Lytechinus pictus: one gene and its partners. The protein of the gene in region 3 purifies or fractionates together with the protein of the main gene of each other region. This does not show direct contact. Links are inferred from orthologs where the notes say so. Each region holds a gene or a part of one and is shown on either strand. Other genes may lie near its edges.

The links.
Region 1: the proteins of CD2 antigen cytoplasmic tail-binding protein 2 homolog (region 3) and U4/U6.U5 tri-snRNP-associated protein 1-like purify together in Homo sapiens (affinity purification with mass spectrometry; 4 studies listed by BioGRID and IntAct, with this or other methods). This does not show direct contact. The link is inferred for Lytechinus pictus from reciprocal best matches to the Homo sapiens genes CD2BP2 and SART1.
Region 2: the proteins of CD2 antigen cytoplasmic tail-binding protein 2 homolog (region 3) and E2F-associated phosphoprotein-like purify together in Homo sapiens (affinity purification with mass spectrometry; 3 studies listed by BioGRID and IntAct, counting the BioPlex papers as one, with this or other methods). This does not show direct contact. The link is inferred for Lytechinus pictus from reciprocal best matches to the Homo sapiens genes CD2BP2 and EAPP.
Region 4: the proteins of CD2 antigen cytoplasmic tail-binding protein 2 homolog (region 3) and pre-mRNA-splicing factor ATP-dependent RNA helicase PRP16-like purify together in Homo sapiens (affinity purification with mass spectrometry; 3 studies listed by BioGRID and IntAct, counting the BioPlex papers as one, with this or other methods). This does not show direct contact. The link is inferred for Lytechinus pictus from reciprocal best matches to the Homo sapiens genes CD2BP2 and DHX38.

Annotation. Positions count from the first base shown.
Region 1 is NC_087251.1:43,746,958-43,754,480, reverse strand, and holds the start of U4/U6.U5 tri-snRNP-associated protein 1-like, read right to left. Parts: upstream 3,011-7,523; 5' UTR 2,820-3,010; coding exon 2,552-2,819; intron 1-2,551. UniProt on the Homo sapiens protein: Plays a role in mRNA splicing as a component of the U4/U6-U5 tri-snRNP, one of the building blocks of the spliceosome. May also bind to DNA.
Region 2 is NC_087251.1:39,835,013-39,841,907, forward strand, and holds the start of E2F-associated phosphoprotein-like, read right to left. Parts: upstream 3,013-6,895; 5' UTR 2,531-3,012; coding exon 2,418-2,530; exon of another isoform or gene 2,226-2,417; intron 678-2,225; coding exon 499-677; intron 1-498. UniProt on the Homo sapiens protein: May play an important role in the fine-tuning of both major E2F1 activities, the regulation of the cell-cycle and the induction of apoptosis. Promotes S-phase entry, and inhibits p14(ARP) expression.
Region 3 is NC_087246.1:5,700,378-5,707,979, forward strand, and holds the start of CD2 antigen cytoplasmic tail-binding protein 2 homolog, read left to right. Parts: upstream 1-4,589; 5' UTR 4,590-4,979; intron 4,980-7,602. UniProt on the Homo sapiens protein: Involved in pre-mRNA splicing as component of the U5 snRNP complex that is involved in spliceosome assembly.
Region 4 is NC_087246.1:40,090,717-40,098,616, forward strand, and holds the start of pre-mRNA-splicing factor ATP-dependent RNA helicase PRP16-like, read right to left. Parts: upstream 3,020-7,900; 5' UTR 3,019-3,019; coding exon 2,690-3,018; intron 1-2,689. UniProt on the Homo sapiens protein: Probable ATP-binding RNA helicase. Involved in pre-mRNA splicing as component of the spliceosome.

The DNA of each region.
Region 1 (7,523 bases), on a different chromosome or scaffold from region 3:
TAGCTACATATGGACTTGAATGACATGGACTTGGTCTGTCATTGTTGTGGCACTAAAGCAGTTGAGCAACGATGAATGTTCAAGGTTAGAATCTTAATTTTCACTTTCAATGCAGATTGGAGTCTGAAAATATGAAATAAGTATGTTATATCCACAAATCCAGGCTAGCTCTTTGCAATCCATCAAGAGTCTGAAAATATGAAAAATAAGTATGCTGTACATGTATCCACAAATCCGGGCTAGCTCTTGGCAATCCATCAGGCAGTGATCGAATCTGGCCAATACACTAGCAACGCCAAGGCAAGATTGATTGAACGAATTTGATTAATACGATGGTGGTCCCAAAGTCTGCGCACCTAACAATTTGAGTTAAGATTTAACATGAACTTCTTATTTCACAAAATCTTTCATTTAATAATGTTCCTTATATTATTATGAGTAAGTGTAACAAATATCTCATAAAAATTTGAAAGAAATATAGGAATTTCTTATATAAAAACCTCGGGCAGTTATTTTCAGATTGAAAAAAAAAATGGTACCCCATGTCTGCGCACCCATTCACTTTGCACACGATTCAGGGATTTTGATGAGAAAGGCTGCATTTTGAGGTCGTCACATGAAACGCCCTAAATTCATTATTTTCCCACCATTTGAGTCAGATTTTTCAATGAATATCTGTCTATGTATTGCATGTGTAAAGTCTGTGTTCCTTGCATATCTTCTTTTACTAGAATCGCGCAGATACATGTACGCATGTGCACAGACTTGAGGGAACTTGCCATACTTTTGTTTTTCTATTAGTTAAATGTATTTTTGTGATAATCTGTCATTTTTGTCTATATTTCGCTATTTATCCGAGATTGTATTGTGTTGATGCATGGTTTTGTTGGCATGCCTTGTTCGCAAACTTCAATTGTATGCGCGTATCGAGTGGACCTTCCTAAAAGCAACACTGCTGTGTCGCTGCCCTCTACGTTCGTTGGTCAATATAAAAGTCAAATAAAGTCAATATAATAAGGTCAATTTGTCAAATTAAGCCAATATAAAGGTCAAATAAAATCAATATAATAAGAATCAATACTAGTACACCATTATGGAAGTAAATCTTCCAATTGATTCCAATATTGGCCATGCCATGAGCCTCTGCGAAGCTCTAAGGGATCTTACTGAGTCTGACTGAGCTGAGCCTAACTTAGGCTCTAACGTCAGCCTTCCTCAAGGCTTCCACTCTTCCCGTAATCCAGGAAATTCCGGGAAGTTTTGCCCTTTTCCAAGATCATTTCGGGAAGTTATCATTTCCAGGAATTATATTATTTTCTGAACATTATGTCAAAATCTATCTCAAAGTTAGATCTTTGTAATGAAAATGTCAAAATTTTCGCTCACTCGCTTCACTAGCAATTCTTTTCCCCGATACGTCTTTGGTCATATTTTGCCCCCTCAATATTTTTGACTCATTACAGCACTGGGCCCTATATTTCATCTTTTTTGCATACTTTAGAAAAGAAGTACATAACATCTATGAAAGACTGGAGAACATTTGTAAAATTCTGAGATATTTTGTAAAATTCCAGGAACTTTTAGTTTTAGAGTTAATTCCACTGGAATTCCAGGTTTCGTTTTTAAAAGGGGAAGGCCTCTCTTCTCCTCTCAGTCTGACAATCAAAAATTTCTGACTCTGGTCTCTGTTTTACTTAGAGTTAGAGAAGTTAGACTTTTAAATTTTTAGTACAAAAAAAACCTGATGAATTAAAAAAAAAAAATTTTGATTTTGAGCATTGAGTCTTTTGAGACTTTGTTATGCATTATGTACTTTAAGTCAAGAAGTTAACAGTAGAGGCGCACGGCCAATATTGGAGACTGTCTCCAATGTGGGAGATTATCTCCAATATCAGAGACTTTTGTAAAGAATTTGGGTATCCAATTTCAGAGACGGTCTCCAGTTTTGGCGACCAATTTCCTTTGTTTACATTTGCTGCAAAAGGATTACCTTGGCGGCAAATAAAAATGTGATAAGGAGATTCCTCATGAAAAATTACCCTTTTTCACCTTCTACTTTAAAAATTCACCGTCTACTTTTGTTTTGATAAGGATTTTTGTTGTCAATCACACACAAAACAAATGGGCTTCTGACCTCAGTGAGACAAAATTTTTGGTTGAAAAAATCATGCTTTTGTTGGTGTTGTTTCTTTTGTCCTTTTGCAAAGCAAGTCTCCAATGTGGGAGATTGTCTCCCCTATTGCTATTGGAGAGAGTCTCCCATATTGGCCGTGCGCCTCTACTGGTTAAGTCTACTTTATCCATGAGTCATGACAATGTATTTCTTTATGATCAAAACCTTAATTTAGAGGTCTCATCATGACATGGGCATGCATGGTCATGGCAATTGTTCAGGAATACCGGTATTACTATTACTATTATATTCGCTGGTGCATGGTGATGGTGCAAATCATATGCTAAAGTTCAGTCCCATATGTGCATTTTTGTGATGTAAAAGTTTGTCACAATTTTGAAAGATTGACCTAAAATAGGCCTATTATTGTCAAGATACCTTGTAATTCAACATCTTTCTCAAGTTTTATGTGGGATGGGCTAAGACTCCTCCCGCGTTTTCGGTCATTTTTCTGTTCTGGTGAAGAAATTTCCCCGGCTTCGACGTCTTTCTCAACGACACGACGATCCCTGTCCTTATCCCTGTGTTTGTGGCTGTGTTTGCTCCGGTGTTTCCGCTCTCTATCTCGGTCCTTATCACGGTCTTTATGCTTGTGTTTCCTTTCCCGATCCTTGTCCTTTTCCTTGTGTTTTTTAGACGACCCCATGTTGAATGAAATCGATAAAGTACACCAGAAAATCCAAAGAAATTAGATATATAAACGTTGATGAGAATTTATTCGCAAAATGAAATGCGTTTTCCAATCGTATATTTTCAGCGAGCGTTATAGACTAGACTCTAGCTGGCGCTCTTTCGGAAAACTTTCGGCCGGTTGCTGATTGTGATTCGATTTGGTTTGGCGAGTGTTGTCAATTTTAGGCCTAAAAGGTTTCAAATTATATGAGCGAAGCGAGTGAACAAAAATTGTCATATTTTTAACTACAAAAATCTAATTTTGGGGTAGATTTTGACATTAAAACAATTAAAAGATATAACGTAATTACTCGCTCCTTCCTATTTCAAGTTTTCGTTGTTTTTTTATCTTTACCGTTTTTTAGGGGGCATAGCCCCAAAAGGCCTATGGTTCCTCGCCCTGAAGTGCAGTGTCTCAAGTTCCCATATATTTTGTAGACAAATCCATCTCTTTTATTCAGAAAGGTCGGATGGTCCTCCTCATGCAGATCTACATAAATTTGTGTCAATTGTTTACATTTAATATAAGTTTTTTTTTAAGTTATCTTTTCATTTGTTTATGGAAAAGGACAGATTATTAATTGTATTGTATTCAGGATAAATCAGTGTTTTAATGTTATGAATTGAATTATAACTGAATCTGGTAACGATAAAATTGTGAATTAGGGCTATTTTCATTTTTTTAGCCGGGGCCGGTTTCGATTCAATATCTAATTCAGAAAGATTAGTAATGTAATGTGCCCCCAACAATTTCCCTCTGACATAGGGCTGAATTAATTCCAAGGCTCATCAAACCATTAACTTGGGCATGTTTAAAAGGGTAAGAAACGTAAAAAAAAATATTTTTTTGATGAGCCTGGTTAGATCATGGAGATTTCTTTGGTCGAATAAGGAAATACCCTGGTCAGATCAAATACTTTTTAATTTTATGATAAGTCCTCTCGGGGGAGATTATATGGGTAAATAATTATCTTTAGGTTCCCCGTGACAGTGCCTGTGATTTCAAACTATAATGTGAAAGTAAATCGCACAATTTCTGTCCCACTTGAGTGAAGCTGCCCCCCCCCCCCATTTTCTTAAACTGATGGTTGGTATGAATCAATTACTTATTATAACTAGGGCAAGTTATATTGACAATAATGAGAGACCAATAGAAGGACTTTGAAGATTCATTTAGTGGCAACCGGGAGTGGCAACCATTGAACTTTCCAGATAAGAGTGATGTGATTTTGCTGACTGGATATAGTTACAATATGATTATTTTATGATATGATGATTTATTTGATTATTTTTTAATTAGTATATAAAGGGAATGAATATTCTTTTTATAAATCATTTTTAAGGTGGATTTATTTGAATGATATTTTTTTTGGGTAGGTATAGCATTGCATAATTTCTGCTAACACAAGGGCTGGTTGAGCATGGGGGTGCACATCCCGGTGAGCGGTGAGGTGGAACTGAAGTGGTAGCTGGGTGCACATCTTGGAGAGGTGGAACTAAAGTTTGAAAAAATCAGCTGTTGAAAGCAGAAGGGGTACAAATTTCGGTTTGAACTCCTCAGCGAGAGGGTGCGTGTGCACCCCCAGCCTATACGCCCTTGCAACAAAGGATTCTTTTATTCATTTTATTTTTTGTTAAAAAGACTAAGATTTTTGTTAGTCAAAGACAACCTGTATCGTACTCATATTTCATTATGTGACTCTCTCTCTCCCTTTCTGTCTCTTTCCCCCCTCTTCTCCTCATAATCTCGCACCCCCCCCCCCACCCACATTGTCTCTTTATCTACACTGTATTTCCATCTGCGCGCTTTTCTCTAATTTTCACCCCTTTATCTCCCCACCCCCTCCCCCTTTCTGTCTCTTCAACTCTTTCCCTTTTCCTCCTCGTCTCTCCTTTATTCCAAAAATATTATTCCCTTCACTATATCCATTAAGGCCAACGTTCCAAGCAGTATGCTTTCTAGGTCGGCATGGTTGGTTACAATGAATGCATACATTGTCACCAACCATGCCGACCTAGAAAGTATTTTGAGTGCTAGTCGCCATAAATAGAGATACCAATGTAATGTATATCTATTATTACTAATGGAAGATCATAAAAAATGAAATTGTTTGAGGGGCGTGAAATGTGTCCATCTTTGCTTTTTTTTTCATTTTACCAAAGATTCTCTGCCTGGAACATTAGCCCCAGAAGTTTTTAGTAATGAATAGTACTTTTTAATGAATAATAACTTCGTCACTATTTTTAATAATACTGTCTGTCAGTGGTAATTTCATTTTTTTGTTCAGTTTTGAGAAATATCTGAAAAATAATGAGAAATTTATGAGAATTTGAATATTGCGATCACTAATGCTATAGAGATCCTCTTATTGGCAATGCGACAAAGATGTATGATGTCACATGTGAACAACTTTCCCTTTGATGGACTATGAAATGCCCCCAAATTATCTTTTTTGCTCTTTCATATGGTGATACAAACTCTTTATCTACAATGTATTCCTTTCAAAATCTTCTATTGAAAGAATAAATTATCTACTGATAGATGTGATAATGTTCACATGTGACATTACACATCTTTGTCGCATTATTAATGGGAGGATCTACATTACAATAATGATCTAAATATTCAAATGATCATAACTTTCGCATTAATTATTCAATTTTCTCAAATTTTTATTGACCTTTTCTTTTATTCTTCTGTATTCGCACAAGCTATCTTGTTTCAAAGATTTAATTTTCCTTTAAACATCGGCTGCATTGGATAAATTTGGTTTAGTTTATAATTTGAATTTATTGCATTGATTTGCTAATATATGTATAGTCCACCCCAACAAAAAGTTGATATGAATAAAAGGAAACAAAATCAAACTTAAGCATAACACTGAAAATTTCATCAAAATCGTATGTACAATAAAAGAGTTATGACACTTAATTTCAAAACAATTATATGCACATCCTGGTCGGGATAGGGGACTGATGACATCCCATACCTAGTCACTATTCTTTATTTTTTTAATTTCATTATTATGCAATATTGAATAATTTAATATTCCTTTAACTGTCATGAGAAAGCTTTATTCCTCCCTGAACACGTGGAATTTCCATGATTGTTTTAACACTTTGTGGTTCAGTCAAGTTGGTCACTATTGTCAAATCTGTAAACACTTATTGTATAATTCAAACAATAAAAAAAAAGAAATTGTGAGTGAGGGACATCATCGACTCTCTTATTTCCATAAAAACACTGAGTTGTGCATATTGTGAAAGATAGGCGAAATTTTAAAATGTCAACCTTTTTAGTAACATCCAATTTTGGCAGCGTCATGCTTTTTTAATTTGTCTTTATTGATTCAAGTTAACATTTTCTGGGATGGACTTGACCTTTAAAGCTTTCTTCGAAGAAGCAGAAAGGGTTCTAAACAGTCGTTTATATAGAACCATTTTGGTTATTCCAGTATACAAGCCTGTACAAGGAGTACAAAATCATATCGATAGAGACAAATCAAACAAACATGACGCTGCAAATTTCATCGAAATCGGATGTAAAATAAGAAAGTTATGACATTTTAGAATTTTGCTTATTTTTCACAAAACAGTTAAATGCCCAACTCAGCGATATGCAAATGAGAGAGTCGATAATGTCCTTCACTAATTATTTCTTTTGTCTTTTATTGTTTGAATTATACAATATTTCAATTTTTACAGATTTGACAATAAAGACCAACTTGACTTAACCATACGCTTTTACAATAATGGTAATTCCACATGTTCAGTGAGGAATATAATTTTGTTTCACATGGCAATGAGGAGAAAATTTGAATTTTTCATATTTCATAATTATAATAAAATACAAAAGAAGTAGTGAGTGGGTGACGTCATCAGTGTGCCAATTTGCATACCGACTAGGATGTGCATATAACTGTTTAATGAAATTTAGCGAAACTTTAAAATGTCATAACTTTCTTATTATTTTACATCCGATTTTGATGAAATTTTCAGTGTTTTGCTTGTTGGATTTTTCTCCTTTTATTCAAGTCAACTTTTTGTTGAAGTGGACTTGTCCTTTAACATGTTTAAGAATCCATTGCAAAAACATCTGAAACCGCTTTAAAACCATTTTATAGATTTGACATAAAAATACTATTAAACATATAAAACTGTGAACTTTTCGGTGAGCTTCACGTGCAAAATTCTGATTCTGGACAACTTGAATGTCTTTACCCCCTCTCGCCTTCCAAAACATGGATCAGCACTACTGACTCTAAACTATATGTTTTTAATAAGTTTAGCTTCTATCAGGGAGTATAGCTGCAGAGACATTTTCTAAAGATTTAGATTTATGATTTATTCATTTCCGTTCAACAAAATTTTCAAAATATAATCAAAGTATACATATTCAATACAATACAGACAGTTGATGACATTTTATAACAAATATTGAAGATAAATTAAACAAAACTAAGGTGAGATGCAATTATTTTATCTATATGAAGAATGTGGAAATGAACGGAGGGACTTGCCAAGAAAAGCGAAGCTTGTAAAGAAGGCAAGTCCCTAAACTTAGGTTCAATACTAATTAACAAACTATATACAAAACTATATATATACAAAAATGGAGACGGACACGGAAGACGGGCTTAAACGAGTAATCTACAAAATATCATAATAAAGCGAGTAA
Region 2 (6,895 bases), on a different chromosome or scaffold from region 3:
TAAATATTTCATAATTAGACACCAACTTACTGCTATTCATTCAAGCCCTGTCTTCTACTATTGTGATTATTCATAAGTGTCTTTCGCATTATGAATAATTAATGAGCCATTTTTTAGAACTTAAATCAAACTCCTTAAGGTCACAAAGTTGCAAGTCACACTGATCAATTATCAGCCTGACAGGGCCCATCTCAAAATATTAATAACCATATTCAATCCAAGTTTTTACTTCTTAGTTTCCTTAGCATTGGAGCTAAGCAGAATGGTGGTAATTTGGACACAGATTGTCTGCTGGTAGAAAATTTTAGTTCTTCATCCCCTGTTTCTTTTGAGGTACATATTCACCCAAAAATAAAAATAAAATAAAAATTGCTCCAAATGTACTTGAAACCATGCGAAAAGGGAGAATTTTTCGACTTGGGGAATGATCATGCTTTACACCTTCCAATAGGTAGTGCCACCACCGGGATTTTCTCTTTCCCTTATACATTAACTCACCATTAACCCTGAATTGATTCTCATGGTTTTTCATGGTTGCATCCAGCTCCATCTCCATCTCTTTCTCAAAATCATCTTCACTGGAGGACATCTGAAGGCTGCCTCGGCTCAAGCTCCTCGTCAAACGACGTTTCTGTTCTGGAGTCCCATTCAGGATGATATCTAACTCATCTTCAGAGCTACATTCAGAAAGAAAAAAAAACAGTGAAAGAAGAAATAAATAGCTTAGTCTTAAAAGCAATAAAAATTAGTAGACAAGAATTAATTTCAAACATGCATGACAATTTTCATCTTAATCATCAGATTATTAATTATGTAAATCAATATTGCTTTCCTTTTCTTTTTATGAGGATCTAGTCCCAGTCTTATATAACATGGAAATGTAACCTAACTTTTCATAATTTTAGAGTTTGAACATCAAATTTATGTTCTCACAAGTGTTGCGCAGGCTGGATTCCGACTTCTTTCATATTATGTAGATCTAACTTAATAAATTTAAAATTGGAATCACAAATTGACAGGTTACCTATTCAAGATGATGGGGTAAGGAATCAATGTACAGGGTGTAAGTGCAAACTTTTATTCAAAATAATGAAGTGAAAAATCAGTACTACAACCGACAGTTATCATAGACGAGGTGAAGTTCAAGTTCAACCACAGGCCACACTGTCAGTGTCACTGACAATGTTTTAGTTTTTGCTTTGAGTTTGACTTTGTGAGAAATTGAGACTGATCATAACCGATGGATTATCCTCAAACCTTAGTTTTAGTGGAGAAAATGTCCGATTAAAAAAATTCTGTTATTTATACAATTAACTTTTTGTGTTGGTGAACTTCCCCTTCAATTCAAAGTTCACCCCCGCTATTCTTCGTTGGTTACGCGTAGCCAGGAGGCTCCTAGAGAGTAAAAATCCTTTACCAACCTATGCTTACTCTCCACGGAGCCAGGAATTGCGTCCCATTCATGTGCATGTACCGCAAAAAAAATGAAACTTTCGCCCCCGAGATTCTACTTTCCTTCCAAAAGATCTAGCCCTAAATCAAATGGGATACAACTTCATTTCCGACATTTCTACGCTATTGATTTCATTCTCATACAAGAATTCATTAAAAAATATGAAAAGACAGGGAAAACTTGCCACCATGTTTACGTCGCCATCTTGATTTCTTTGTCTTTCGCCATATGCGTGCTGTAGGCATGTAGCCTTGGCCTTGCATGGCGAAAGACAAAGAAATCAAGATGGCAACGTAAACATGGTGGCAACTGGCAAGTTTTCCCCATCTTTTCACAATATTTTTTCTTGTTTTTTTAATGAATTCTTGTTTAAAAATGAAATCAATATCGTAGAAATGTCGGAAATTAAGTTGTATCCCATACATGATTTAGCTGGGCTAGAGCTTTTTTAGAAGGAAAGTAGAAATCTCGGGGATGAAAGTTTCAGTTTTTTTTCGCGGTACACGCGCATGAATGGGGACGCAATCAAATCCCTGGCTCCGTGGAGAGTAAAGCATATACCCAGTTGTTGTGTGTCCGGACAGGTTGTGTGTCCGGACGATCAATTTTAGAAAGTCATTTGGAATTGGAAAAATTTACAAGCGAAGTTTCATAAATTATATGTTAGGAAATATTATAAAGAACAAAATAGAAGATGATTACAAGTATTGAATTTATATTTTTAGTGTAATCCAAATACAAAAAAGAAGGCTTCAAAAATATAAAGTGTCCGGACACCCGACCCCCCATCCTACCACGTTAGTAAATGATTTTTACTCTCTAGGACTAGGAGCCTCGATCCTGGCTAGTTAGCGGCCGCGACCGCGCACTGATGCAGCCGGGCCGCCGGGCGATCGCGACAGACAACGGCGCTCGAGCCGAGAGGAGGTTGCACAGGATCCGCCACCCAGCCCGGCCAGATTACCTTTCATTTTCCTCATCGACATCGTTGACGCTACGATTTCCACTCCCAGTTCCACCCCTTCCAAAAATATTGAAGGGAACATTGCACACTCTCTGATCGTGATCTTCATCCATGGTCAAGCTAAACTAATCTGGAAGTTCTTGTGATAAAAATCTCACTCTTTTTCGGCAATATATGGGACTGAAGCCTTCTATCTTGTTCGACGGTGCGGTGGATGCGACACCGGAAGTCTCCGTCATTTGCCTTACCTCCGGCTCCGAAGGCCGAAGTTTGTGGGGAAATTTTTCGACAGCAAATTTCAGGTAATTACAATTGTTATTATTAAAAAAACTGATTGTTTCTAAAGACAATTTTATGTGGTTCATTTCGGTATGATTGATTTGCAATAATTTTTAATTTCAACATGCTTTTTTACTAATTCTTAATTATAGTTCCAAAATGAATTTCGATCCGTAAACATGACAGTGAAAATACAGTATGGGACTGGCAACCGTAGCCGGCATTGCGGCGCGCGCTGGCTCAGTAGCCCGATATACCCCGGTCCGGTGGTTGATATACCCCGGTGGTTGTGTGTCAGGACTCAGTCTTAGGACACATGACTTTTACTTTTAGTTATGAAAAGTTTACAAGCAATTTATTTGATTTTATTAGCACAGAATGTAAGAAAATGTTAATAAAGAACAAATAATGATGGTGATCATGGTGATAAGCACTATTCAACCTATATTTTTGGCTTAGATTAGAGTGAAACTTAGACTTATTGTCTCATAAATAAGAGTCATATTGAGAAGTGAGATAAACATAATTAGTGTGAGTGAGCCAGGCCCAGGACTGTCTCAAGTCAAAGTCTCAAGCCTCAAGCAATTCTTCTGTGTTCGGACACCAACCCCCAATGGGTGTTTCCACAGATCCAAAACAAATTTCCTGAAAATGAATCCTTAATTTCCCGAAATTAATAGACATTTCCTGGAATTTTCAATTTTGATTTTTAACGAAAATCAGGGAATATGATGGGGTGTCCAAACTTCGGGCACTTTTCAAAAATATTCATCAGGCTTAAATATTTTCACAAAATATTCCTAATTTATACAAAACCAATTCAAGAAATAGTAACCACATTGACGGCAAGATCGTAAACTATAAAATCATGGACGAAAATGTAAAGTAGGTCAAGGGGATTTGCCGGTATCGCGATCTCAAAATTCTATTCCGATCGGCGAATGCGCGCTGTGCTGGAAAACCGTTCAGAAAAAGTGTGACCTAACTTCGCGGACCAAAGTTTTTGTGGACATTTAAACAAAAACTCAAGCTCAAAAAGTGAAATATTTATATCAGATCGATGGCAAAATGCTATAGAATCGGTTAGTACCACATTTAACTCACATTTTTGATGATTTCTGCTTGCAAAATGGTGATATCGTGATGCTTGTTGAAAATATCAGATTTCTTCAAAACAAGTGCTAACGGTGACAAATTTGCCGATCTTTTGCCAATATTTTCATGAATACTGAACTCATCCTAAAGAAACTTACACCAAAGGGTAATTTTAGGTCGCTTTTCACGTTGATTACGTCAGATTTAAAGGATATTGGCTAGTTTTTTAGATAATGACCGTCCGCGAAGTATGGACACGCGCGAAGTTTGGACACACTGCCATACAATGAGCCTAAATTTGGTCCAAGAAGAAGTGACCATAATCAAGAAATTTAACATTTTTTTGTTCATGCCATCTTTAAAAATAGGAACAAAATTATGAAATGGGAGCGCAGAGCGCGAGCAGAAAATTTTGAGCTACGACGACGGAGCCTACGTCTGGAGCCGGAGGTAGATCTTATGTTGGATCTAAATCTTACTACTTCACTGACTGTCACTGTTCTTAGGATACTTAGGGAATATATAGTGGGACCACCACATATCGACCACCTTGCACGCATTAAAATTATTGCATATATTACAAACGATACGCGCGGGAGATAGGCGCAGTGCCCATTGGAACGGTAAGAATCAATTTTACGAGAGAAAAAGAAGGGGTAAAAGGTAAAAATTTAGTAGAATTTATAAAAATTGTTTTTACTAGACCCGAACCCTGCCAAAAAAACAGTTGTTCATACCAAGAAATCCGATAGGAAACGGCTTTAGAAGAAATATCTGTCTCCAATTGTCGAATCATGTGCCGGAGCTCGCAGTGGAAGTAGTGAGATGATCATTTAGCATGTTGTCATCATAGAACTGATTTGGAAGAGTCAAAATATTTCGCCACCACAACAAGAATCGGCTGAAATGTGGGAATCTGATCTGCTCAATTTTCTGCACAAATGAGACGAAAACTAGGTTAAAACTGATAAGTATTTTCGCAGATACGATTCTTAGAAAATTAGGTGGTCGATAAGGGGTAGTTCCAACCATACTGAACGAAGTCATTATGACTCTGTATTCAGTTCCAAATTCTTTCTCCTCTTTAGGATGGCCGGATCATCTTTAAATACTACAATGAATATTTAAAAGTTGTTACGGTTAATTGTCGTTTAATTGTAATCAGGGGCGGATCCAGGATTTTCCAAAAGGGGAGGCATGCACATTATGATTTATCCAAGGAAAAATTGGACCAGCAAAAAAAAAATGTCTTCTTTTTCAAAGGGGGGGGGGGCACACTTCTGTTTTAACAGTATTTTTACATGACAAATTTCAATTTTGCTTCTCAAAAAGGGGGGGGGGGATCTGCCAGTGATTGTAATTTTTGGATTTCCCTGAAGTTCCTGGAATATTTTCATTTCCAAAACCTTTCCTGGAAAGTCGAAATTTCCTTAATTTCGGGAAGAGTGGAAACACCCCATCCACTTGCACTCTTCAACCACCCTGTCTGTGGTGAGCCTATGCAACATACAATGCACATTCAAAAACTTTTGTGATTATAAAAAAATCTCAGATCCATTCAGTTATGATTTGTTTTCATTCTAGACTTAGAAATAATTTTTTTCACCAGAGCGCTCAAAACCTTTCATTTGAGCATATTTTTGTGAGACCCTCTATTGGTGGTATTAGAGATTGATGCAGATCTTCATCTTCACAGACTCGCTTTTTAATTAGAAAAAAAAATATCATTTAGTTTTGGGCCAAGGCATATTTTTTTATGATGAATTTACTGTAGTAAAAACTGACTGCCAAAATATCAAGTATTTATCCAGTCTAGATCAAGAGAAAATAACCCAAACGTTTAAAATCTTTTTCTTTTAATTTCACCACGCAGGGGTTACTAATTGAGGACAAGGTTACATATCATGGCCTTGTATTATTGGATAAGTGCCCCCATCCTACCACTGGTTGTTGCATGTCCGGACGGGTTGGGTTTTATGGACCGACGATTTCTTCCACTAGGTCTAGTCATTTGAAATGGTTTGAAATTAAAATCAATTTTTTGTAGTTTTCAAAGAAACTTTTAGAATTTAAAGGCCTAACGTAGCATACATGTATGCGTAGACCTCTACTCTGTTGATATTCCCGACCTTTCGTTTGAGGACGCGCACGCTTATTTACGACGGTAGTTGATTTTGGAAGAGACTTTTTGGGCCCGTCATCATGGTCGTAAAACTCTGTCCTGCAATGCAAATTGTGTGACATGAGATTATTTTTTTCGTTTCGCATCTGCGACGGAAACATTCAATATGCGTTTCGTGTGCAAAATTCTGGTTGCTACTATGGTAACAGCGATATATCCGATTGAGGACGACTTTCCAAAGCAACATTTGACTCCTCCTAGAGCTCGAGAGGCCGCCCGGGGGGCCCACTTCCATTGATTAGTGGATACCAGGAGCGAACACGCGTTAAAGGGGACAGAGTGGGCAGGTACGTTACTTATAGGCCTATGTAACGTAATAAGGGTGTCAAAACGATGTTTAAAATGCTGAAAAAAAGGGATATATATATACTTGTAGGGTTTCACAAGCCAAATACTTGTTAAGAGATGCATTTTCATAATCTGGAAAAGAATTGCTTCCCTTGTTTAGGGTACTTTTCGAAACCTCATGGTCGTGCCTGGTATCCACTCATCAATGGAAGTGGTCCCCCCGGAATTTGAATCTAATCCCCCATTTCTGGGGAAAGAAAAACATAATGCCCATTACATCGTGTGCGAGAGGCATATCGTTTGTGTAGAAGGAGTAAACAAAAGAAACAAAAGAAACAAAGAAACAAAAGAAACGAGTTCAAACGTATTGCATATGCTGTGCGCATATCAACGCGCGCGGAATTTTCGGCTGGAGAGGTTGATCTGACCCATGAAATCAATTGCCAGTGATCCACCAATAATCCACATCAAATGTAATATCGATTCGATGGACTGTAATGATCTATATCTAAGCCTTCATTCAGTAAGTTTTTCCTCACTCAATATGTACTCAATTTGTTTGAAAAACCACTTTCTTATCCATGTCATAATCTATTTTAGGTCCTGCATTTCGAATATCTCCAGCCATCAGTCG
Region 3 (7,602 bases):
AAAAATTTACTTATAATGTCCTTTTTTGGTCTGCATATCAAAAATTTTCAGCTCGCGCTTCGCATTATTTGAGCAGTGACATACATATCCGTTTAATGGCACTGTCTTTAAAATGTCCCTATTAGGTCAGTATACCTGGCAACTGAGCGCGCTTCGCGCGCTCACTAAGTGACTCAAATATTTTGCTGGTGCCCCCCCAATGCCGTGACTCACGGTACGCATTGTGTTTTCCGCATACATTCGTAATTCCGAAGCTTCGTTATTCCGAAGGTTCGGATATTCCGAAGGTTCGTTATTCCGAAGGTTCGTAATTCCGAAGGTTTGTTAGTCCGAAAACGAAATGAGGTTCGTAATTCCGAAGGTTCGTTAATCCGAAAAAGAAATGAGGTTCGTAATTCCGAAGGTTCGTTAGTCCATAAACTAAATGATTAACTAAACTTATTTCGTTTTTCGGACTAACGAACCTTCGGAACAACAAACCTTATTTCGTTTTCGGATTAACGAGCCTTCGGAACAACGAACCTTATTTCGTTTTCGGATTAACGAACCTTCGGAACATCGAACTTTATTTTGTTTTCGGATTATCGAACCTTCGGAATAACGAACCTTCGGAATAACGCCACAAATGTTCGGATTAAAGAACCCTTTTACGTTTTCGGATTAACGAACATCGAGGTATAGGCAATTTGCGTGTTTCGGAATTACGAATCTTCGGAATAAAGAACCTTCGGAATTACGAAGTGTAACCGTGTTTTCACACCCCTAACATTCATAGTAACAACTGGGGCATTAGAATTACAAATTTACATGAATCCGGCGCCCCTAGGTAAATCGGCGCCCCCCCCCCCCCCTCCTTCCAACCATGGCGAACATCAATTCGGCGCCCCCATATAGAGGCCCGTTATATAGCCCTTTGAAGAGTTACAGATTAAGCCCCGGCTGCAGAACGGGGTCTAGCAATCATTTATGAGCTGGTTCGTACACTGGCATGCTATATATATCATCCATCTTTCTTCCCGTTCTTTTTCTTCTATCTTCGGCCTTCGGCAGTCCAGTCACACTAGCGTACCTATAGTCCAGGATAGAAGGGGTCGAACCTTGTTTTTTTATATATACAATGTTTTTTTATGGTTTCTTGTCAATTCGAGGGTGCTGATTCCGAATCTGAATGATGCCACTCGTGTAACCTTGAGCATTTTCTGCAAATTGGCAAAATCCAATATGGCCGCCAAAATATTCAAATTACCCATGAAAATCATAAAATTGTCCACACATTGGCTTTAAAGTACATGCAATTGTGCTGCCGGAGTGAAATAATATCTGAAAAAATGATTTTTGTCAAAATATTTATTTTCTTGATATCAAAATGGCCGCCATCATAGACCCCTGTACAATATGAATGGGGAAAATTAATTTTTACAAAATTGAGCACTGAAATGCAAGTAATTATGATCTATGAGTGAAGCAATGTCTGTAAACATGATTGCTAACGATATATATCATTTGTTATGTCAGTTATGTGATAAATCCTGTATTTTGATATTCAAAATGGCCTTCAAAAGCCCTAACACTATTATGTACAATGTGAATGGTGACACAAAAAAATCACAAGAGTGAGCACTAACATGCATTTTGTTGAGATAAACGAGTGGAATACTGACTAAAAACATTTTTAATAACGAAATTTATTATTTAACATGCCATGTATGTGATAAACCCTGTATTTTGATATTTAATACGACCGCCAAAGGCCCTAAAATTATGATCTACGATGTGAGAGAGGACAAAAACAATCACAAGGTGAGCACTAAAACGTATTTTTTGTGGTAAATTAGTGGAATACTGTCTTCAAATATAATTTGCAACGAAATATATTATTCGGGTTTCATATTTGTGTTAAATATTGTATTTTGACTTTCAAAATGGCCGCTAAAAGACATTGACTGTATTATGTACAATCGATCTGGGAAACCTATTTTCACATGAGTCAGCACCATAACATGCATATAATTGTGATTTAAGAGTAAAATATTGTCTGAAAACATAATTCCTAACAAGATATATCATTCATTCTGCCAGGTAGGTGATAAATAATGTATTTTGAAAGTCAAAATGGCCGCTACAGGCCCTAACAGTAGGCCTATTATGTACTTTGTGAATGGGAACATATAATTTTAACAGAATTTGGCTTTGCTTGACTAAATGGTGTTGCATGTATGAGTGAAATATCGTCTGAAAATATGATTTTGTTACCAAATAGATCATTTCTTATGTTATTTAGGTGATAAATGCTATATTTAAATTTCAAAATGGCTGCATTATGTTTCTTTGTGGAAATTATCTTTCCCCATTCAAATTTTACATATTAAGATAAGGGACTATGGCGGCCATTTTTCATTTTTAAAAGGCTGCATTCATCACCTTTATGACACAAGCTATGATATATTTCGTTAGAAATCATTGGGTTTAGACAATACTTAACACTTACATCAAAATTAAGCCATTTTCATAGTAAAAATTTTGTCAAAATTATCTGTCCCCAGTTACAATGTACATACTACTTTGGGCTATGGCAGCAATTTTGAATTTCAAAGTAAGGCCTTTATTACCTTCTCAACCATTATGTGATGTATTTAGTCAGAAATCATGTTCAAGACCAAATTTTACCTATACATCACGTAGTTACGTGCGTTTTTGGTTCTCATTCTGGTGATGATTAGTTTCCCTATACGCATGTTACAGAATTTGTAGGGGCTTGTGCGGCCGTTTTGAAAGTCAAAATACAGTATTTATCACCTATGGGAGAGGAAATGTTATATTTCATTAAAAAAATCACGTTTTCAAACAATATTTTCCTTATACAACAGAATTATATGGATTTCATAGTCAGGCAAATCCTAATTCTTTCAAAAGTATTTGTCCCCATTTACATTGTAGATAATACTGTAAGGGCCCATAGGTGCCATTTTGAATTTTACAATACAGCATTCATCTCATGCATGAAAAATGAAATGATATGTTTCGCCAGAAATCATGTGTTTAGACAATATTTCACTCGTGTAGATTACAATTGCATTCATTTTATTGTTTTTACTCTTGTGAAAATTAGTTTCTTCATTCGCTTTGTTCATAATACAGATAGGGCCTATGGCAGCCATTTTGAATGTCAACATGCAGCATAATTACCGAAATTGCAAGGGAAATTATATGTTTCGTTAGAAATCCTTGTTGTCAGACGGTGTTACACCAATATTTCGCAGTTATTGGCATTTTAAAGTCAAACAAATTCAAAGGTTGTGAAAATTATTTGTCCCCTTTTATATATTGTACACAGTATAAGGGGTCTATGACAGCCATTTTGAATATCATAATACAGCATTTATCACATTAGATAGTATACAAATGACATAGTTTTGTTAATAGTCATGTTTTCAGACAGTAGTCCACTCGCAGGTCACAATCACATGCAATAATAGTGCTCTTGTTTGAAAAAATATTTTCCCCATTCATATTCTACATAATAAAGTATACAGGGGTTATGGCGGCCATTTTTAATATCAATAAAATAAATATTTTGTCAAATATCGCTTTTCCAATTGGTATTTCACTTCTGCACAACAACTACATGCATTTTATAGCTAATGTGTTGGCAATTTTATGATTTTCATGGGTAATTTGCATATTTTGGCGGCCATATTGGATTTTGCCAATTTGCGGAAAATGCTCAAGGTTACAAGAGTGGCATCATTCAGATTCGGAATCAGCACCCTCGAATTGACAAGAAACCATAAAAAAACATTGTATATCTAAAAAAACAAGGTTCGACCCCTTGTCTATGGGGCCTATCCTGGACTACTACGGGCCAGAACCCATGCAAAGGACGTATCCCTAGGTCCTATAGATACGCCACTGCCTAGTGGCGTACCTAGGATTTTCAACAGGGGGGCAAAATCGGCCGCCAAAAAATCTGACAAGCAAAAAAAAAAAAAAAAAAAAAAAAGGGCTTCAATCAAGCTCTTCAGGGGGGGCAATAAATGTCTTCAAGCTCGTCAGGGGGGGCAGGGATATGTCTTTTGTATGGGTTGTGGCTCGTCAGCTAGGGGGGCAGACTACCCCCCCCCCCCCCCGTAGGTACGCTAGTGCCACTGCCCAGTCGTATTATATTTTGTCCCTTTTTTATTCTAAAATTATAGCTTTTGGATTCCATTCTACCTTCATTTCCTGCTTTCGTTCGTCTTTTTGTCATCTTTAATTTATTTCCCTTTCTTACTAATCATGCTAATGTATTTAGTTTATCGGGGAGAATTGCTTTTTCTCAAATGTTAATCTTATTTCCTTCGATCCTTTTCCTGTTTTCTTTCCTTTTTAACTTTTTTTTCCTAATTTTCACCTTTTCCATTTTCATTTTCCCCTCTTTTTCTTCCTTTTTAAACTTTCCCTTTCTCTCCCTTTTCTCTTCCCGTTTTTATTATTTTCCCGGTGAAATCCGCCAGGGGGGCAGGTGCCCCCCCCCCCCCTTATATGTCACTGCCTTGATGTATTATTTATGAAGTTATTATGTTTGTATGTTTATTTCAATGCTGTTGAATGTCATTGAAAGAATCAATAAAGAGTACTTTTAAAAACTGCGCCTTATACCGGTACCTAGCTCATTTTTTAAGGGGCATGTACGTCGGAGACAAAGTCCATGTGGGATCAAAAGTGGGATCCCTTATCCTTTGCCCTTACCCAAAGAACTCCAGCTAGCAAAGAGAGCCCCGGGCGCGCCCCGGAGCTCTCTAGTCTGGGTACGGTACCGCGGCCCGGCCGCGCCGCCCCCATAGCCAGGTACCGCTCTCGTCAGTCGATCTACGACGCCGTCTAAGATTAAGAGCTAAAAGAAATAATTTTGATCTCGACAAGCTACCCTGGCCCTGGTATCGTTGTTTCGAGAAGCAGCCAAGAAGACAGCGCTATATTCTTGTCTGGTGGGTTATTCGGTAAGGAACATCCGGATTATTCGTACTAGGCTTTTATTTCTTGTGTTAAAACTGCCCAATCAAAAATTAACCAGATTTCGAGTGAAGTGTGGCATGATTGTTTAATATACCGCTTAGTGTAGGCCTAGGATGTAGTCCCATATACTTATTTTCGTGTTTACCCGCTTCGCGTTTTTGAAATCCTTAAAAGTTTAGCCTTATCGTCAACAAAATATTAATAGACCAGGGGCGGTAACCTGAACATTGCCTTTTCTCTATATTTCATCTTTTCACAGAGATATAACAGAAGCAATATTTTGGGAAATTATTGAAGAGACTATAGCCTATACTATACTCTATAGTAGGCCTATGACTTGGTCTTGAGTTGAATTGTGATTTTGAATTTTTATTTTATAGTAGACGGTCTAATCCCCATTAGCACTTCCATATGACATACTGGGCCTTATCGTGAAATTTGTCACCTCTCTTGTCGTGCGTTGAAAATGGAGGACGTATTTTTCTAACTCTCTCAAAAATTGTTTTTGAAATTCAAATTTCGAAGAGTAGAATATCGTTTGGGGCTTAGTTTTTCCGTATATATCGGATTAGGATCGTACTTATTCCACGGATGTCATTTATATGCCATTTTTTATGCGGATCGATAGGATTTAGTTGGATTTAAATTGTCGCGGTGAACATCTTTCGCGAGGTGCAACGAGCGCAGTGGACCACCGAACGCAACGTAGAGTTTCAGCGGGGAGCTAGCCCGATACCTACTCGACGTTCGCGATGGCGTCTGTCGTCAATCCAGCCGCCCGCAACGGGGAATTGACACTACAGGAGGCCATGAAGCGGCTTTCGCCGAACGCACTCGCAGATGAAGTTTCACCGACGATCGATTCCACATTAGTTCAAGGAGCGAAAAGGAAAATTCTTCCGAAACGCAAGTCATCGGAATCTGAAATCAGCGGTTCGCAGAGATCAAACAAGGGAAACACCAGTAAATCATCATCCAATAAAAACAAACAAGGGAAAGCATCAAGAGATAGGAAATCATCGACTCAAGCAGAAGAGAAAGAATTCCAATGTGAGTACTGTGATAAAACTGGCATTGAAATTATGATTGAATGTGAATGCTGCAAGCGGTGGTCATGTTTGTTGTGTCAAGGCATGTCCATGGAAGTGTATGCTGTACTGAGTGACGAAAATAATCATGCTCATTGGTACTGTTTTTACTGTGAAGAGAAGGCTATACAAGCTATCAAATCAGTTGAATTGAATGAGCAGAAAACAGCAAACACTCATATCAATTCTGGCTTTACTGCCAACGGAGAACAAGGCAATAGCCGAAGTGCAGATATTCCCTTCAATCAGTTGGATCAATTTACTCATCAAATATGTGAAATTATGCAAGAAATGAAAGGAATTAAGTCGATGCTAGAGTCTTCAGAGATAAATGACAATAGAAATAAATCATACGCACATGTAACTAAACAACAAGAAAGAGTGGAGAGTAGGCCTAGAAGTAAAAGCAGTAGGGGCATTGAATCTGACATTAGCCAAAGCCCGAACTACAATTCAGATTCACAGGCTAGTCATGTGCAACTGCAGCAACAATCTGCACTCATTAACATAGCAACTGTTGATGAAATAGTTGATAGAGAAAGAAGAAAGCTAAACTTAGTTTTATTCAATGTACCAGAGTCGACAGGTGATAGTTTTCAAGAGCGACAGTGTGAGGATGCAAAAGAGGCTGAAACTATCTTCTCAACAGGATGTCACGTGGAGGGAGTTAGGATTATGAAAGTCATACGACTGGGAGGGAGGATCCAAAATCAGAACGCCAAGCCCAGGGTTCTGTTGGTACAACTTGAAGATGCTACACACAAAAGTGAAATCTTGAAGTCAGCAAAAAACTTGAGAAAAATAGAGAAATGGATGAATGTATTCATTGCTCCAGACATGACTAAACAACAGCGATTAGAGCGTAAAGCTCTGAGGGAAGAGCTCAAGAGGAGACGCGAGGAGGGTGAAGAAAACTTGACGATTCGCAGAGGAAGATTAGTCACCTACAATATTGATGTGAAACTCAAGCAGAAGCGTACAGAGAATGTGGCACATTCCTTCTCCCGGCAGACGAAGGACAAGCAGGTGAAAGAGAATGTTCAATCCAGCTTCCAACAGTCAGAAGACATACAAGAAGTGCGACCCAGCACTAAACCTAAAGATGGACAAGTTTTAACAGATGAGACAAGGTTAGAAGGAGCAATAGGAGGAGTTGACCTCGGTGAGTGTTGACTACAGGAGAGTAAATGTTCAGTTGATGACAATTCAGTGGCATTTGAAACTGGAAATGATTTGAAAGTTCTATATACAAATGCAGACTCTTTATCAAAATGATTGAGTTGGAAATCATTGTGCATAACTTGAATATTGATATTATTTTGGTGACTGAAGCAAAACCTAAATCTTCTGTAACAGAATCAACTCTGACTTCATTTAATATACAAGGATTTAATATATTTGGAAACCTTGAAAAGGGCAAGTGCAATTCTCGTGGAGTTTTGATATACACAAGGACTACACTCAAGGTGATTGAAGTGGAAATGTTTAATGACTTTATTGAATCATCATGGTGTATGAT
Region 4 (7,900 bases), about 34 Mb from region 3:
GTCTCCGCCCACACCAAAATCAATATGCGGCTTTGCTTTACCATAATGGACCTTCATGCCACATTTGATGATGATCGGAAAAGAAATGTAGCTGGTAGAGCGCTAACAATGACATCTCTACTATTTCCACAAAAACTTGTTACCATGGCAACTATGTCTCCGCCCACACCAAAATTAATAGGTTGCTATGCTTTACCATTTAATGGACATTCATGCCACATTTGAAGATCATCGGAGAAGAAATGCAGCTGGTTGAGCGCTCACAATGACATCTCTGCAAGTCCACATAAACCCTTGTTACCATGGCAACGACGTCTTCGCCCACACCAAAATCAATAGGCGGCTTTGCTTTACCATATTGGATCTTCATGCCACATTTGAAGATGATTGGAAAAGAAATGCAGCTGGTAGAGCGCTCAAAATGACATCTCTGCTATTCCACAAAAACTCTTGTTACCATGGCAACGATGTCTCCGCCCACACTATAATCAATAGGCGGCTTTGCTTAACCATAATGGACCTTCATGCCACATTTGAAGATGATCAGAGAAGAAATGCAGCTGATAAAGCGCTCACATGGAAATCTCTGCGGTGGCGGACGCGGCGCGACGAGGCTAAATCCATAGTATCCTCCGAACTCTGTTTGGGGAATACAGTAACATCTACCATCCAAGTTTGGTTGAAAAGTGATTTACGGTTGCAGAGTCATGTGTCATAAGAAAGTCTTACACAAAAAATTTAACGTTTAACGTTGACCTGAAAATTACCTTTGACCTTACCATGTGACGTGTGACTGCAGCATGACATACAGGTCTCCGAACTACATCGACAATCCAAGTATGGGTGAAAAGTGACTTGTGATTGCGGAGTTAGGTGTCATAAGAGAGTCTTGCATGTAGACTTTAACGTTGACCTGAAAATGACCTTTGACCTTACCAAGTGACCTCCTACTGCAGCACAACATGCAGGTCCCCCATGTACATCTACCATCCAAGTTTGGTTGAAAAGTGACATACAGTTTCGGAGTTACATGTAGATGTCATAAGAGAATCTTGCATGTAAACTTTAATGTTGACCTGAAAATGACCTTTGACCTGAACATGTGACCTCCGACTGCAGTATAACATGAAGGTCCCACAAGTCAATCTACCATCCAAGTATGGTTGAAAAGTGACTTACGGTTGCTGAGTTATGTGTCATAAGGTTAGTGATGGACGGACGATGGACAACATTTGGATCCCTAAGTCTCGCCTTTACCTCTGGTGGCGAGACAAAAAATCATTCTTTCAGGTCATGTGTCTGGATTTTTGAAAATATTTCATAATAAAGGTGAAACTTTTGATCTTACACATGATACAAAATAATTATTTTGATGCATCAAAAGTTGTTGTTTTGAGCCCAAATAATTTTTATTTTTTTATTAAAGCTAAAGATCTAAGCGTTAATATGATATAGGTTTTATAAGAGGTATTATAGATGGCTCAGCATCTAGTTTTTCATAGGCCAAGTACATTTAGCAGCATTAAAACAAGAAAACTGCGTTCTGATTGGTCATAGAGACAACACACCCACGCAAATTCCAATATTTCAATGCTGGGGCCTGTCCAAGCAGGTCATACTGACCATGTGATAATCTCTTCAAATTACCCGCAACTGTTGTTCTGAAATCTTATCCAGCCAATGAGAATTCTGGATTTCTTGCTACTCAGAATTTTCAAAAGTCTTTTCTTGTATCTTGATGGTAAAAGCTGGCTGCTGCAGACCTGCCAACTTCTGGGAATGAAAAAATTGTATTCTGTGATAGCAAAAACTGTATTTCCCCCCCCCCAAAAAAAAAAAAATAATAATAAAAAATTCCATAGTAGGCCTACAGGGGCTGATAATATTCATTGTCTTTTGAATTGTCAGCCATACTATCAATTTTAAAGGTTTTAATTTGTTTCTGATTATTTAAAGTTATATCATCAATGTTATGTAACTTTGTTTATGTAATTATTTGCTTAATTATAATTCTAATTTATTTATTTTGTATATCATTGTATGTATACAGGGATCTTCTTTTTAAAAAAACAGGCCTTTTGGCACTGAAAAGACTACCCTGTTTTAGATAATTTAAGTGAATAAATAAATAAAATGAAAATATATACTAATGAATACTAATACTAAAAAAATATATACTGTATATATACAAATACTAATAAATACTAGAACTAATTTATGCATGCCTCCTGAGTTCTAGTTTTATAGTCTTCCTTTATCACTTTTCACACCATAGTGTGGAGCTGTTTGGTGTGATTGGCTGTATCATTCCATTTATCTCAGGCAATGGGGCCTAAGTTACATAGATTAAAGCATTTCATCCTGAGAATTCAGGTAAAAAATTACATATTAATAGCAGTAATCCCCACATAATCACATTAATAGTATATTCAGATTCAAATTGTCATTCATATTATCAATTATAATGATGTGGGATTCTTTTCTACAAAATAAAGGATCGAGACAACAGGCCGTTCTGCTGCAAAACATTGCATGACTGAAGCATACATCTGGGTAATTGGATTTAGTCTCATTAAGCAATGGCCGACCATGCTCCGTGCAGTCGCAGACGTTAAGCTCATATTGCGAGTCCACACTCTATAGTCTATAGAGTCTAGCAAATTATATATTTCTGTTAAATAAAACCCACCTTTTCAGAACAGTATGTTTCCTCTTCTTCCTTGATTTCGTATCCTCTTCATCTGAATCACTACAGTCATTACTTTCTGAATCAGAATTGTTCTCCCACTCATCTCGGTAAGATATGACCTTTGACCTCCTACTTTTTTCTTCCTCTACTTCTCTTTCTGATACATCTTTCAGTTTGCGCTTCTGGGCAGCAAGGACATCTAAGCCTAGAACAGAAGATCTTGATGGTGGGGCTTTTAAATCCGGATCAGAGTTTAATTTCTTCTTCTTGACGACCAACCCACCAACCTGATTAGAAAGTCCTTCAAGACGATGAATTGAATCAGCCATATTTCTAGAGTTAATAAATGAAATTCAAAAAATGAAATAAAAAGTTTTAAAAAAATGAAAAGATATATGTCTACACAAGGGCAGTTCCAGCGTTACGGACATCACATTTTTGGTAATTTTTGCAACTTCAAATGAAATAACTTAAGATAACACAACTTTTTTACTCTAACTCTAATTACAGAATCACTCACATATGACCATGAATTATATACAGTGCAAGTTTCAATCAATGTCAGTAAATAATGTGTTGGTTACAGCATATAATGTTCACCATTACTGACAATTTTTTTTAAAAGACTTCATACCCATATATTCTTTGAAAAGTTTGAGAGTTTAAGTACACAGTGGGACTAATAAAATTGAACAATAAAATTGTTCATTGGATTAAAGTTAAATCGGAGGCAATCAGCAACTTGCTCCTGGAAAAGTTCATGTGGTAAATCATGGGAGTAGCAGCAAAAACCTGTTGCCTCCTTTCCAAGCTGCAGACGCCATACATACTGTACATGTAGGACCGACCTGTATAACTTTCCAACTAGTAAAAAGTTAAGCTGTTGATATTGATGTGAATCCTGGAATCCCTGGGGATGAAAGCAGCACCTGTCTACCTAATGAATTACATGTAATGTCATGCCACAATACAACATCAAACAGCTCAATGTCCACAAAGTATATAGTCAGGCAGCATATGTCATGATTTACCAGCTACTTCGACAAATTGGCTAAGTCTGATTTTTCACTTTTAGGTGATTGGTGACATCACAAGGAACAATTTTCAACTTGGTGACAAATTTCTAATGGTCATCTTGACCATGTTAGTGGTCAAGATGGGGTCAATAGGGGGCAATTTTTTTAATTGCCCTGATTCTGTCAAGTGACACATCAAATTGTTAGTCTTGTTATACTGAACAAAAAAGTGTACACAACCATATACACTTGACCTCCCGTTAAAAAGGTATGACCGGAAATGTCAAAAGGTCAACAAACTTTCGTTAAATGGCCAATTACACTGAAGGTGTGAAGAAAGCTCATTTTTCGATGTTTTTATGCATGTGTGTACTTTTTTATTTTCAATTTTGATAAGTCCATCGTCAGAAGTCCTTATCCAGAAGATATAAAGGGTCAAGACAAGGTCTTTATCTGAAAAAAGACATTATATATAAAGGGGTCAAATGTGCTTATCTAGGAACAAAATAGATAAACAGAGATAGACGTCGAATACATTCAGTGTGGTATCATGGTATTGCAGGAATACCTTGAAACGATTTGACAAACCATTATGCCCTTAAAATCTTATCATCTTCATGGTGTGATAAGTGCAACCAGGGAGTTTTTTTATTTATTTAGGAATTCAATTCAAGTTCAATTCATTTTCCATTTACTAGTCTTTGATATGTAAAGAAGTATTTCCTTCATTTGCTTTGTACAGAATATTTTAATCAACAGAAATTATTGTAATGTATTGGGGTATAATTATAGTACTACATGTATGTTAACAGAATAAACACATCGATTGATCAGTGCTCCCAGCTCCTAAGAAAGTTGCCTAACATTTCATTTGGATTATCTTGCGAATAAGATACTCGATCTCTGGAGCCAAGAAGGACTACACATTTCTGGTGCATGTGCTGTTCTGAGCTTATCATTGGGACCCTTTTGCATTTTGTAAAGTGAAATTTAAGGATTTTGTGCATACTGTACTTTTGGTCAATTATATTTATTTTTCAGTAAAATGCAAGTCTTCACAATTTCTGGGGGCAGCTGCCCCCCCCCCTTCCCGCTGCGGTATGGCCGTGGTTTACTTCAATGACATGTGTGATTATTCTTTCTAGTAACATCCAGGTAGTTCAGCAATTAGAAAAAAAAAACAAGAACGACAAAAGAACAAAAACAAAATCTGCATCTAGATGCACATCACTATCGTGAGAACTGGTATTAAGTTTAGTTTCACATTGTATGCTCTGGAAAAAACACATTTTATAAAATAGTACAAGCCGTGTTAACGTAAGCACATAATCAGGAATGTGTAGTCCTTCTTGGCTCCAGAGATCGAGTAATGGTCAGAATATATCCCATCAGCATGATGGACACCCATGACTGACTACAATGAGCATGCTTGCACGATGTTGCCTCTTTGTCAGTAATAATATAACCGTCACACATAATTAAGGGGCATTTGGAGTCCAACTTATCATATCATCCTCAATCCTAACCTCATTATCTTAGTCGGAAGTTAATCCAAATAAGATCTTTCTCAGGAGCTGGGAGCACTGGTCAATCGATGTGTCTGCATTGAATGTATTCGACGTCTATCTCTGTTTATCTATTTTTTCCTAAATAAGCACATTTGAACCATTTATATTAAATGTCTTCTTAGATAGAGACTTTTCAAAATAAAGAACCCACGAAAAAGAAGACTTCTGAACTTCTAACCGCTTTTAGACATGTATTTTGGCTGCCAATGAAAGTTTGTTGACCTTTGGAGCTTTCCCTGACCTTGTCTTGACCCTTTCTATCTTCTGGATAAGGACTTCTGACGATGGACTGATCAAAATCGAAAATAAAAAAGTACACACATGCATAAAAACACAGAAAAATGAGCTTTCTTCACACCTTCAGTGTAATTGGCCATTTAACGAAAGTTTGTTTACCTTTTGACATTTCAGGTCATAACTTTTTAACGGGAGGTCAAGAGTATATATGGTTGTGTACAACTAACAATTTGATGTGTCACTCGACAGAATCAGGGCAATTTAAAAAATTGACCCCTATTGACCCCATTTTGACCACTAACATGGTCAAGATGACCATTAGAATTTGTCACTAAGTTGAAAATTGTTCCTTGTGATGTCACCAATCACATAAAAGTGAAAAATCAGACTTAGCCAATTTGTCAAAGTAAATAAAATATGCTGCCTGACTAAAGTCTAGCTGGGAATCCCTCAGAAGCAACATCACTTGAGTAGAAACCCTGTGATCAAAGCAGGGTCTTAATCCGAGAACTGCACCTCCAAAATCATGGATCTCACAAAAAGCACTCTGCAACTGCTTCCTCCTCTGAGGAGGTAAACTACCCACCAAGCCTTCATATATCTTCTCTAAAAAATTGCGGGGTTAAGTCCAACAAAGAATTAATTCCTCTACTATTAAAACAGATGGATATTCTACTACTTCAAGAGCACTGGATCCATGAGGGTGAATTGGGTGTCTTTAAGAATCTTCAGTCACATTTTCGTGCCTTCTCCAAAGCTCATGATCAGCTATACTCTCTTCCAATTCTCGCTACCCCAAATAGCGATTTCGCCGAGATCCGGAAAAATCCCTGTAACGCGCATTGCATTATGGGATAGCTTTTCGGTATTATAACTTCCTGTTCGGAAGTCCAATGCACTGTTTTGCAATTCAGATCAACAGTGCCATCATGCACAACAACACAACGTCGCTTTCGCTCGGAAAGTTCGTGATCACAACCCTCTCTTTCATGATACAGTTTAACTGCCTTTTCTGCTAAAGTCACTAATTCTGCCCGACGCTTTCCATTGCACGGTATTCATCTGTCAGTTAAGATTTTTTTAAGTTCCGAAATTTGATTTTTATCCATTTCGTGGTCGACGAAAAATTGAACGAAATGAATGCTGTATATATTTAGTGTCTAGTTGAATACGATCGTGATGTCAGGCCGGTCGCTAAATGCAAAATTTTAAGATATTCATTATTTGTTTGATTTTTTTATAACCAAATAAAAACATGAATAAAAATTATTTTCACGTGAAATATATTTTTTATTTTTATTTATAATTCAAATGGAATAAAAACTGACCAAATGAAATAAAAAGTATTATACTCTGTACATATTACGCTGATTGGCATCGATTTCAGCGTGGTGGAAAACTCAGTATCGCGAACCTCGCGTGAGCATGACCCTAAACCGGAAGTGGTGATGACGACCCGACAGAGTGAAAATTATCTCGTCTCGCCCATTATGAGATTTTTGTTCCTATTTGGGGTAGCGAGAATTGGAAGAGGCAGAAGAGGTGTTGCCAAATTTGTCAAGAAGGCACTCCCATGCTCTCTAAATGTTACTCCAACAATCTATCCAAGGGTGCTTTGCCCCCATTTGCTCTCTGAAAACCAAGATGTGCCAGTTTGTAACTACTACATGCCATGAGATGTAGTGCTGTAACCCAAACTTTTGTGGTACAGGTTAACCTGCCAGTATGCCCCCAAACGCGGGTTGCGAGCTGGGCCAAATTCATTCTCCAACCCGCAGACCGTACGGCGTAAGGGAGAAGTTATGACACAGACAAAGAAAAACATTTAAAACACACAGACGAAAGAAGGTAAAATAAAGTGAGTTTGGATTACTCAGGGTCACGTGGAGCGTTGTGGCCCAGTGGATTAGTCTTCTGACAAAGGGTCGTGGGTTCGATTCCCAGCCATGGCGTAATTTCCTTCAGCAAGAAATTTATCCACATTGTGCTGCACTCAACCCAGGTGAGGTGAATGGGTACCCGGCAGGATTAATTCCTTGAATGCACGAGCGCTGAAAGGCAGCTCGAGCTAAAGCCGGGGTAATAATAATAATAACAACGCGCCTCGGAATAGAATATTTCTAGATAGATGGCGCTATATAAATGCCTATTATTATTATTACATGGCAGTTTCTTTTAGAGATGCTATTTTCTTAAAAATTTGCAGGCATATTTTTGTGTTTGTGAACGTTGTGTGGGGCTCCGAGTCTGAGACAGTTCGGCAAATACCGCCTCAATATGCATTAGCCTCCCAAGTGAATTAGCGATAGTGCCTCAACATACATTAGCCTCAAAAGTGCTACCAGCACCGTCACTGAAGTTATTATTTTATTGACAATTTGAGGAGCTTG